Linked DNA regions of Lytechinus pictus. The protein of the gene in region 2 binds, or shares a complex with, the protein of the main gene of each other region. Links are inferred from orthologs where the notes say so. Each region holds a gene or a part of one and is shown on either strand. Other genes may lie near its edges.

Region 1 (3,755 bases), on a different chromosome or scaffold from region 2:
ACCATCTCCAAAACTCGGCTCTCTACACCAGGGAAACTCAATATAAAAAATAAAAATGAAATTGGCATGCCCACACAGATACACCTAGAACATTTTCACATTTCGGGGGCAGGAGTGAAGAGGCTCCGAGCCCCCATCCACGTATAAGTATTTTTTGAGCGACTCAAACATCCACACCACAGTCGCACTCAAAGTCAAAGAAATTGAAGCATATTGATTATTGCAACTTAAAACTCGGCTCTCTACACCAGGGAAACTCAATATAAAAATAATAAAAAAAGAAAAAAAAAAGGCCTAAAAATAATCAATTTGAAGTTAAAAATTAAGCCCCCAAATAAACATTTATTATTGATGGCTACCCTCAGCCCGGCATGCCAACACATCTACACTGCGAATATTTTTTCACATTTCGGGGGCAGGAGTGAAATCGCCCCGAGCCCCCACCAACGTAAAAGTATATTTTGTGCGACTCAAACATCCACACCACAGTCACACTCAAAGTCAAAGAAATTGAAGCATATTGATTATTACAACTTAAAACTCAGCTCTCTACACCAGGGACACTCAATATAAAAAAATAAAATGAAATGAAAAAAAAAATAGGCCTAAAAATAATCAATTTGAAGTTAAAAATTAAGCCCCCAAATAAACATTTATTATTGATGGCTACCCTCATCCCGGCATGCCCACACAGCTACACCCCGAATATTTATTTTTTCACATTTCGGGGGCAGGAGTGAAATCGCCCCGAGCCCCCACCCTCGTAAAAGTATATTTTGTGCGACTCAAACATCCACACCACAGTCACACTCAAAGTCAAAGAAATTGAAGCATATTGATTATTACAACTTAAAACTCAGCTCTCTACACCAGGGACACTCAATATAAAAAAATAAAATGAAATGAAAAAAAAAATAGGCCTAAAAATAATCAATTTGAAGTTAAAAATTAAGCCCCCAAATAAACATTTATTATTGATGGCTACCCTCAGCACGGCATGCCCACACATCTACACTGCGAATATTTTTTTCACATTTCGGGGGCAGGAGTGAAATCGCCCCGAGCCCCCACCCTCGTAAAAGTATTTTTTGTGCGACTCAAACATCCACACCACAGTCACACTCAGTCAAAGAAATTGAAGTATATTAAATTATTATCTTAAAGCTCTACACCAGGGAAAATAAAAAAATATATAAATATTTACAAAAAAAGGCAGAGCCTATACGACACTGCCAAACTTCAAGCTCTAGTTCACTCTCTCACTCAGTCAAGCTCAGCTCTTTGACTGTGCACGCCCACTTCCATTGAGGATTCGGGCTGAATCCCACCCCGCCAGTTTAGGCGGCCGAGCTACGTAGAATTGCGATGAAGAGCAGCGGACCGTTCATCGGTTGTTCGCTTCTTGCGACCAGAGAGAAAAGGTGAAAAACTTTAACAAAATCGTGCAAATGCACCAAATTTTATTCTTGTGATGAGAAAATGGAGTTAATGGAATACAAGAAAGTCCATCTTCTGCGATAAAAGTGGTAACTTGAGGAGAAATGATCACAAAATCAAGTCAGTTGTTGAGTGGGGCCGAGCCGAGCACCGACACGGTTAATACACGCGCGCCTATGGGAATCGCGAGCTGTCGAAAAACGCCTAAAATTACACCTTTTTTTTTATTTCAGCGAAAAAAAGTAATAGAAAGTGAAGAACATTACCATCAGACCATATCTCTAGAAAATCTTTACAAGAAATTACGAAATGACGGAAAAATAGACGCAGATTTGTGAGAAAAAAAATCTCGTAATGGGTGGGACAACTCGGCCCGCGGTCCGAGATGTCCCGTGGTCCGAGTTGACCCGATATATTTTTGTTCAAATATTAAAATTGGCATAGTCTATATCGTTTGAAAACAAAGTAAGTAGCTTTAGGTCCCCCCATCATACATGTAAGTTAGGCGCAGGCAGAAAAAAGCCACTGGCACTGCGCAGACTTTTCCTTCAGTTCGGGCACCTTATTACCTAGACAGCTGGCAGCCGTCTGTTTCGAGGAGTTTTTTAACTTTTTTTTTTTTAAATTTCTCCTCGTAGTCGTACACAGACGGCTCGCTAGCGTGCAGCCACCATTAGGGGACTTGCAATGCAAAATCCCCCCGTCGGGGCTCTTCAATTTTTGTATTTAATGAATAAAAATTTTGCAAATTAACGCGACCAAAATGCAAATTAATATTCCCTCTTGGCATTAATTGCCAAAAAACTGAGAAAAATCAAGTTAAAAGGAACAAAAACAGTGACTTACCTCGGCTGTCGCGCAAATTCACTTCCCCGTTTTATCCGATCTTAAGTACATAAACATATGGCCATTGAGTCCCCTGTACAGATCGCGCTAGAACTTCGGTCTCTGTATTTGGTGAGTGAAGCCAACGGAGTTCAGCTGAACAACCAACATAACAGAGACCGAAGCTTTTGGTCTACTTATTACCATACATGTATTTGAACGACTGGGACCAAGATGAAGAACCTACTTGACATTAACGTGCAACATCTGCTACAAAGATTGAATGATATTTATTCTTCAAATATCCAAAACGCTTTGAAATTAACAAAAAATAAAGATCTTTATTGACGGAATCAATACAATAGAATGATACAGAATGAAATGTGGTATTAACGAAATTAAAACTAAACGAACCTGACGTAATTTAGAGAGCGTGTACTATTTCCGAAGATGGCCGCCATGGGCCAATTTTTCATATGCGCATGCGCCATAGACCCATATCTTTCAAGCGCGCGAGAATAAAAATGTCTAAAAATCCCGGGGGGGGGGGGGCTGGGGGAAGTCAAATGTATTGCTGCACACATGCGTGACCAAATTATTTCCAAACACCCCCCTAAAAAAACGAGTTTTTTTCTGTGTGCAAAATGACCCCGTAATAGTCCAGGATAGGCCCCATAGAAAATTGTCCAAACCTTGTTTTTTCATACATACAATATTTTTTCATGGTTTCTTGTCAATTCGAGGGTGCTGATTACGAATCTGAATGATGCCACTCGTGTAACCTTGAGCATTTTCCGCAAATTGGCAAAATAATATGGCCGCCAAAATGTGCAAATTACCCATGAAAATCATAAAATTGCCAGTAGATTGGCTATAAAATGTATGTAATTGTGTTGCAGGAGTGAAATACTCTCTGAAAAAACGATTTTTGAAAAAAATATGTATTTTCTTGATATTTAAAATGGCCGCCATAGACCGCTGTATTCAACTTTATGTACAATATGAATGGGGAAAATAATTTTCACAAAAGTGAGCACTAAATGCAAGTAGTTGTGATTTTTTGTGAAGTAATGGATGAAAACATGATTGCTAACGAAATATATCATTTGTTATGTCATATGTGTAATAAATGAAACATTTTAGTATTCAAAAAGCCACCAAACGCCCTGACAGTATTATGTATAATGTTAATGGGGACAAAAGAAAATCACAAGAGTGAGTACTAAAATGCATATAATTAAGATAAGTGAGTGGCATATTGGCTAAAAATTCAATTTTAACGGAATATAATATTTGAGATGCAATTTATGTGATAAATGCTGTATTTTGAAATTCAAAATGGCCGCCATATGCCCATTATACATTATGTACAATGCGAATGGAGAAACTCATTTTCACGAGAATAAGTACATAAAATGCATGTAATTGTGATATACGAGTAAAATATTGTCTGAAAACACGTTTTCTAGCTAAACATATCATTTCTCTAGTCA
Region 2 (3,755 bases):
GTAGATCCTAAGTAAATAAATTCTGTTTACCATATTCTTCCAATTGTTTTTTATGACATTACTACAATTCAACATTCATACCACAGAAAACATAGATCCTACATGAATTATATTTGATTCAATGATTGTATTTTTGTTTTGGATCAAATGACTGAATAAAATGAACTGAATTGAATATAAATTAAAAAAAATAAAAAGTGTGGATATTTGGGCACTTTACTCTACAAGTTACAACCATTCCCGATCGCGATATTCAGAAACGCAGGGGCATATTGACCTCAAAATGTGACTGAATTTACTTGCCATGACAATTTTGCAAGCAATTTCTGACTCGAAGTCGGCCAGTGTGAAATTGCATTGGCGCCGTAACATCACAAAATTTGTGAAGAATTAGATCAAGTGCAAAGTTCAGTTTCAGATTGTTTTATAATTCTTTACAACACATACAATTTTGAAATTTAGTCCAACAGTTTTTTTTTCAAGCTCCCGAGGCTGAGCTCCACAACTCAAAAGCCAAAACTGGATTAAAATACAATACAATGAATTAATACAAGTTACAAGAATCAAGATCAGAAGATACCAAAATTCTTTCTAACAGTAACATTAACAAAGTTAACGTGGAGCTCTGCGTTCCGTATCTGGCTTGAATTGGCCAAGTAAGGTAAGGAATGCAGAGCTCTACGATTTAGAGCCATATTAAGTTGAAAAACAACAACAGCTAATTTGTTTTCAACGACTTCACAAGTCTCTATGAAAGCCGAATCAATGCCATTTTTAGTTTCAAAGAGAAAACCGAAACATACACAGATATGTACATGTGGGACACCGTTTTCGAATACACACATCCCCGCAATAAGTCACAAATTGTGAGCTTCATTAGATAAATTAAAATAAATCGTAATACATTTCATCGCATATATGTATATTATTCATATAAATATATAGTTACCATTTTGAAAGATTGTTATAGCCCCGATGTAGAAGGATATTGACTGCTTTCGTCGACCGTCACAAACATTCGCGAAACGACACGCTCAGCTAGCTGGCTCGAGCAGCGCGAGCATATATGCAAATATATGACGCCAAACAGCACGCGCGGCGCAATACGGAAATTAAACCAATTACAGAGTCCGTCTCAGACCCCATCTTTGTCAAGTGGGAATTTACAGACGATTTGATTGGTCCTTAAGCACAACAAAGATGGCAGCGCCCATGGCCATACTTTTCTACGTTGTCGATGTCTTGCATTAGGACTCTATAGGAGACTATTTTATCAGTTCTAACTTCATCTCTTGAATTGAAAATGGATGAAGACGAATATGGAGATGTTGACTGGAACTATGACCAGGCTGTACGTATGCTTAGTAATTCTTTTTAGCATTGTCTCATTTGTCTGGGTTGGGCGCCAACTGCACTCCGTCTCCATACCAGCCGGCGGGCGCGCCGGGCCCGCGGACTTTGCCCGTGCCTGCGCCCGTTCTGCCTGGCTATGGCTATGCCTATGGCTATGCCGCTGTTCGGTAAACGCGGTAGCAGTGCCAGTGCTGAGGGTTACGATACCTCGTCCTCGGGCGAAGTTCGTGCAGGCTCCACTTCACTACCACTGACCACTACGCTACGAGCGTAGTGGAGCGGAGCCTGCATGAACTTCGCCCGAGGTAAGGTCGGATTACCAGTGGCAGTGCTGAACTTAGACAGCTGGCAGCCCTCTGTTTCGAGGAGTTTTCTGACACTTTTAAAATTATTTTTTTTAATTTCTCCTTATTATACACAAACGGCTTGCTATCCACTCTAGGCGACACCCCAATACTTACCCGTGCTAATAAACTGGGACTCCACTCACGCGCATTTGGGCCGCCCTAGCTTAGAACTAAGCTTTGTTTTACTAAAAAATAAATCTTGTAATGATTCAATAAATGTTACTTAATAAATTAGTACTGTTAAATCGGTACTCACCGGTTCTTTTCTTGAATTTTCTGGCAATTTCCCACGCTTCTGGCTTCAATTCTGCGGCTGTTCCTGTCGCGGTAGACAACTACATATGCAACTTTATTTATAAATAGAGCGCCCCTTACGATAGTTGTTAAGAACGCGGCCAAATTGTTAGGTTTTTTGCACTGTGTCCAAGGCGTTTTTATTTTGTTTGATTTTTTATTTTTAATAAATATTTTGTTAAATAGCGATTTTTACGTCAAATATTAAATTCATATCACAAAATATTTTTTATTGTAGAAATATATATAATATCATGCAATTATTCATTCTATATATATTTTATAATAAAATTTATAATTGTTGCGGTCTTTAAAAAAGGATAGTCGATTGATCAGGTGATGACCACATGTATCACGTGATCTGAAAATCAGCTTCATACCGCTTTGATCGCACTCGACATTGACCGGACTGACTGCCAAAAAAAGATCGAAAAATGACTCAAATGTAAGTTTCCCTTTATTTTATTAAATTCAAATTAGGAATAGGAATATATTTAATGGGCAATCTTTTAATAAATGATAAACAAACGAGGACAAAACTCATATTTTGGGAGTAATATACTTGGGTGCAGGAAACAGTACGTTTAGAAGTTCTAACCTGTTTTTAACGCATTGTCGCCTATGAGGTCCATACATGTTAATGTTTGGACCTCATTGGTACTAGGAGTGTAGACAGGAATAACCGTCGTTTCTGGGGATTTATTCAACAATTTCTGACATTTTACTGTAATCCCCATTTACCGACGGTAGGGTGTACGTGTGGGCTCGCATGTGTTCTCATTCCCTCCCTTTTGTCAATTCACAGTCCAAAGTTTGATGTAATTTTACACATCGAATTTACAATCTAAGGATGTATAAACAACAAACTTTTAATTGATGATATTCTAACATTTAAATACTTTAAACGATATAGATGAAAAAGGCATGAAAAATATACTTTACCGATGTTTAATTGGGTTGAACACGATAAAAATGGTCAAAATGGCAGCCAAACTATAAAATATTTACAAACGAACGTCAACAATCACGAATGTGATATCGATATTGCTTTCGATATTATACGATCTGCTCCATATGCGATCGAAACCGAAGATAAACGATACTAGTTATACTAGTACTAGTACTAGTTATAATCGCGATATATCGATTCGAGACATTAAGTTAATAACGATAATGACGTCATTCAAGATGGCAACTTGCAAGAAAAACCGTCAGGTCAGGTGAAAATGTCTTAGATGACAGATTTCTCAATCATCCAGAGGATTTTTTTCAATAACTCCGGCCCAAGGTATGCAATTACTTAATTTATTTATACTTCCCTGATAATGGAAACCATGAAACTTTCAATTTTGCTTAAAAAACAGTTTTAAATCGCGATCTATAAAACGCTAGTTCACTATACGTTGGCTGTAGGTACGGGGCCCCACCCCCTTCAGTCTATGTATGGTGAGTGGAGCCAACGTAGTTCAGCGGAACAACCAAAATACAGAGACTGAAGCTTTTGGTCTACTAGGAGTGTTGCTATCGTGCAGCCACCATAAGGGCACTCTAGGCGACACCCCAATACTTACCCGTGCTAATAAACTGGGACTCCACTCACGCGCATTTGGGCCGCCCTAGCTTAGAACTAAGCAATATTATCTAGAAATTGTTACATTGTAGTCATTAAATATGTTCTATTAAATAAATTGATAATGTTTAATCGGTACTCACCGGTTCTTTTGTTGCATTTTCAGACCATTTCTCACAATTCTTCGTAAA
Region 3 (3,755 bases), on a different chromosome or scaffold from region 2:
CCAAGAATGGATGACTATCTTCTAGTTCCAGGTTAAGCTGACCAGAGACGGGATACGATCTTAGAATGTCTGCTACTGTGGCAACCCATTCATCCGTATCGGTGAGGGCTTGATGGAGAATACCGCTCAGCTCTTCTTTGCACTAGTTTGGGAGAGAATTAATCAAACAAGATATGACGAAGGCTGGTAAAATAAGAGAGGAGGAGGAGGAGGAGAAGAAGAAGAAGACAAAGAAGAAGAAGAAGAAGAAAAAGAAGAAGAAAGGAAACTATATTAAAAAAAAAGAGAAAAATGTTAGAGGCAAAAATGAATGCTCAATGATTATGAACTCTGATTCATATTCATGTTGATTCCCATATTTTGATATAGGGTCTATTATTATTAATGAACAAAACCTTCACTCAAAACCTGAACTTTAGGTTTGATATTTGGTGGAAATGATATATATATAATACAGGGTTTATCATTTGGAGTTTGGAGTTGAAATCTGGATTTTCCTGTGGTGAGTGATAGTGCTTGTGTACATAATTTGTTTGGTGTGTGTTGTTGTGATTGAAAGTGGTGGCTTGTGAAAGTAGTTTGATCTGTCAGATCTCGGCATGTGAAGAATTTAGGGTGCAATACTATGACATGACATGGCTCACTTATTCATTGCTTGTTTATCCGCCATGTGTGAACAGTTTGATTAAGTATTCTCAATGAATTAAATTTACTCTCACCATAATTACTGATAGTGTTTCTTCATTTTAAGCATGAATATATATTTTGCATTTCCTTAATATAACTTAGAACCTTGAACTCTAATTTGACAAGAATGATATTAAATCACTCAAAAGAATATTTGGACAATCCTTGCATGAGATAGAGCTCAACAAATTTTTCTGCCATTTCACCCCATGTTTTGTGAAGATAATGGTTAGTGGTATTGGTAACATTACAAATATTGTTTATATTAGGCTATAAAATTGTTAATTTTGACTTTTGGGCTTAAAATAAAATACAAGTTAGCATAAAAATGGTGTTCTCTTAAATGATATCAACTTCTTAGGAAATCAAAACCAGAATCAACTGTCGATGTTTTGATGTAAGCAAAACATCAAAGATATTAGATTCCCATAAAATAAATTGGAAAATCATGAACTTCCTCACTCACACGTATTGCGAGGTTAGTATTAGTATTACTAACTTCCTATTTTACCCACTCATTCAATGAACAAGGTTATGGTATAACCTTGTTCTCAGTTATATATCCATGTGTGGCAAAATAAGGATGGCAATGTTTGGCTTATTTTCTCTTTTTCTTTGGGACAAATACTTGATTTTTTTACACTGACAGTTTCCATTACACCTATTCGTCATACAACTTGGCCCTTAAGTACATTTGATTCTTTAAATTATTTTTTCTTAATTAAAAATAGAGATAAAAAAATGAAAATTTTCTTGCCATATTATTTTCCACAAATAGAGGGCGTACACAAAAATATGCCCAAAATTCAAGTTTTTGAACGCTCTAGTGAATACAAAAATTATTCTTAAGTTACTAATGAAAAATAAATTGCAACTGTATGGAAATTAGTAATTTTGGTCACAAAAGTGATATTTTAATCATTTTTTAAAGTGTGTGCTCTGTATAGCATTGGCATGCCATAGTCCAACCTGTAGATTCCCAACAGGCAGGGTGGTTGCAGTGAACAAGTGATTTTACCAATATTTTTAGTTTTTCTCATTACTAAAGCTTCGTGCAGATTTGTAAAAAGACCAGAATTTACATGATGCTAACCATTAAATAAAAACTGCTCAGGATCAACTGTAAAAACTGCATTGAAAAAAAAGACAAAAAGTGTCCGACTTAAATTTAGAAATAAATGTTACTGTCAGTAGAGGCGCACGGCCAATATTGGAGACTGTCTCCAATGTGGGAGATTATCTCCAATATCAGAGACTTTTGTGAAGAATTTGGGTATCCAATTTCAGAGACAGTCTCCAGTTTTGGAGACCAATTTCCTTTGTTTACAATTGCTGCAAAAGGATTACCTTGGCGGCAAATAAAAATGTGATAAGCAGATTCCTCATGAAAAATTACCCCTTTTCACCGTCTACACTAAAAATTCACCGTCTACTTTTGTTTTGATAAGGATTTTTGTTGTCAATCACACACTAAACAAATGGGCTTCTGACCTCAGTGAGACAAAATTTTGGGTGGAAAAAATCATGCTTTTGTTGGTGTTGTTTCTTTTGTCCTTTTGCAAAGCAAGTCTCCAATGTGGGAGATTGTCTCCCCTATTGGAGAGAGTCTCCCATATTGGCCGTGCGCCTCTAGTGTTAGTAGTATTAGTAATTAAAAAGTTAAATTTGGGGTCATCGTCGCGTTCATACAGATTACAGTCAGCACAAACATGCTGGAAAAATGATGTGTTATCGTCTCCCTACCAGTGTTAAACTTATTATTGAAAAAAAATGCAATGACTTTGGTATTCATATTTAAGACATATTCCTTTAAAGGCTTTATTCTGACAGCTCTCTGTATCAGCTAACTCACTCATCCTGCATACAAACTTGTGAATAGATGGGACCACAATACTCACCTCTTCCACTTTTCGAAGAGGCATATGGAGAATTGCCATCAAGAGTTTGAGTTTTACAGTCGGGTGTAGAGTCTGAAAGCAATCATGTGTGTTTCTAAGAACATCTTGGTGAAGTTGAGTGCTAATACTTGTAATTCCAGACCAAAGATCATCATTATCACCGAGTTTATTGTGAAGCCAAAGGCTGGTGTCGCTGTCGCGAACAGTCGCCATATTGCGCTTATAAACACAAACTTTTCATGGTGGGCCGGGCCATACAGCGCGACCATTAAGAAAAAGAGTAAAGTAATCAGACCAAACATGAAGGGAAAATTATGTACCCTGTCTACAAAAGGACAAACCAAAATCATGAAATTATAAGACTATTTGTAAGGTATCACAGCACGTATACCTAAGGATGGGATCGATATCCCGCTATTCATCCTCTTAAAAAAATAATTGAAAAAAGGAAAAAGGAAGGAGAGGAGAAAAGAAAGAAATAAAGAAGGGGGGCAGGCGCGGTTCTAGACTATTAAAAGATTGGGGGGGGGGGGAGGGGTGGCTTCAGGGGGCTTGAGAATTTTTTGTACATTGGTTTATTCAATACAATGAAAATGGCCCATTGTGGGGTAGCCTTATACTGTCCCAGCAGCTAGTCCCTCTCCCCCTTTAAAAAATACATTATTAATATTATGCAAGGGAGCGTAGTGACAGAGCGAAAAAAATCACAGTCTCAAAATGCTTGAGAATTGTTTATATATAACATACATCAGGGCCTGATGGGTGTTATATATGTAAATGAGGGCATTTAACGATAAGGGGGGGGGGGTACTTAGGACTGGTTATCAGGAAATGGATTTGTTTAGAGACTTTGAACGTACTAGTATAACAGTATACGACAGCTAGAGGCATAGGCCCGGGGGGGGGGCACTCAGTATATAATGCATAGTGGGTATGTGCCTCGGAGGGGACCCCCATTTTTACACTCAAATTTCCGTTCCAAGGCATAGCATTTTAGTCTTATTGAGGAAAAGAACACAGAAAGCCGCTCCAAAGCATAGCATTTTCTCCTTATAGAGAAAAAAGAAGAAAGAAATCCGCTCCAAAGCGCTCCAAAGCGCTCCAAAGCTTCGCATATTTTTGTTACGCCGTTCCGGTCGTATTGATCTGCTACAATGAGCTGCAATTTTG

Evidence for each region.
Region 1: the proteins of negative elongation factor D-like (region 2) and negative elongation factor B-like are in contact, whole or in part, in a crystal structure (PDB 8JJ6), measured with the Homo sapiens proteins. The link is inferred for Lytechinus pictus from reciprocal best matches to the Homo sapiens genes NELFCD and NELFB. Residues at the interface, in XP_047296144.1 of Homo sapiens: Arg63, Ile66, Met67, Glu68, Pro69, Ile71, Phe72, Leu75, Ile89, Gln90, Leu92, Ser93, Tyr96, Thr97, Ala98, Val99, Ala100, Gln101, Thr102, Val103, Asn104, Leu105, Leu106, Trp109, Leu110, Gln112, Thr113, Gly114, Val115, Gln121; in NP_056271.3 of Homo sapiens: Met49, Leu53, Leu56, Val58, Ala59, Asn60, Gly61, Leu64, Lys65, Leu68, Thr69, Leu75, Ile78, Glu79, Phe81, Gln82, Glu84, Asn85, Gly86, Val87, Leu88, Leu89, Ser91, Leu92, Ser94, Ala95, Leu96, Pro97, Phe98, Leu99.
Region 3: the proteins of negative elongation factor D-like (region 2) and negative elongation factor A-like are in contact, whole or in part, in a crystal structure (PDB 5L3X), measured with the Homo sapiens proteins. The link is inferred for Lytechinus pictus from reciprocal best matches to the Homo sapiens genes NELFCD and NELFA. Residues at the interface, in XP_047296144.1 of Homo sapiens: Cys204, Gln205, Gln206, Leu207, Glu208, Phe210, Ser211, Leu214, Arg215, Leu218, Ala219, Ile221, Leu222, Asp223, Gly225, Glu226, Cys241, His242, Gly243, Glu244, His245, Thr246, Tyr247, Leu248, Phe249, Ala252, Met253, Ser255, Val256, Leu257; in NP_005654.4 of Homo sapiens: Leu23, Trp24, Ala25, Leu54, Leu58, Leu61, His62, Arg65, Pro88, Trp89, Met92, Val93, Ile96, Leu97, Phe100, Gly104, Ser105, Leu106, Leu108, Leu110, Asn116, Val117, Asp119, Ile120, Leu121, Glu123, Leu124, Arg125, Lys127, Val128.

What each region holds. Positions count from the first base shown.
Region 1 is NC_087259.1:18,432,890-18,436,644, reverse strand, and holds the start of negative elongation factor B-like, read right to left. Parts: upstream 2,745-3,755; 5' UTR 2,677-2,744; intron 1-2,676. UniProt on the Homo sapiens protein: Essential component of the NELF complex, a complex that negatively regulates the elongation of transcription by RNA polymerase II.
Region 2 is NC_087246.1:62,259,420-62,263,174, reverse strand, and holds the start of negative elongation factor D-like, read left to right. Parts: upstream 1-1,187; 5' UTR 1,188-1,303; coding exon 1,304-1,351; intron 1,352-3,755. Other genes in the region: small nuclear ribonucleoprotein-associated protein B'-like, read right to left, coding at 950-952. UniProt on the Homo sapiens protein: Essential component of the NELF complex, a complex that negatively regulates the elongation of transcription by RNA polymerase II.
Region 3 is NC_087256.1:23,775,124-23,778,878, forward strand, and holds the start of negative elongation factor A-like, read right to left. Parts: upstream 2,873-3,755; 5' UTR 2,799-2,872; coding exon 2,586-2,798; intron 143-2,585; coding exon 1-142. UniProt on the Homo sapiens protein: Essential component of the NELF complex, a complex that negatively regulates the elongation of transcription by RNA polymerase II.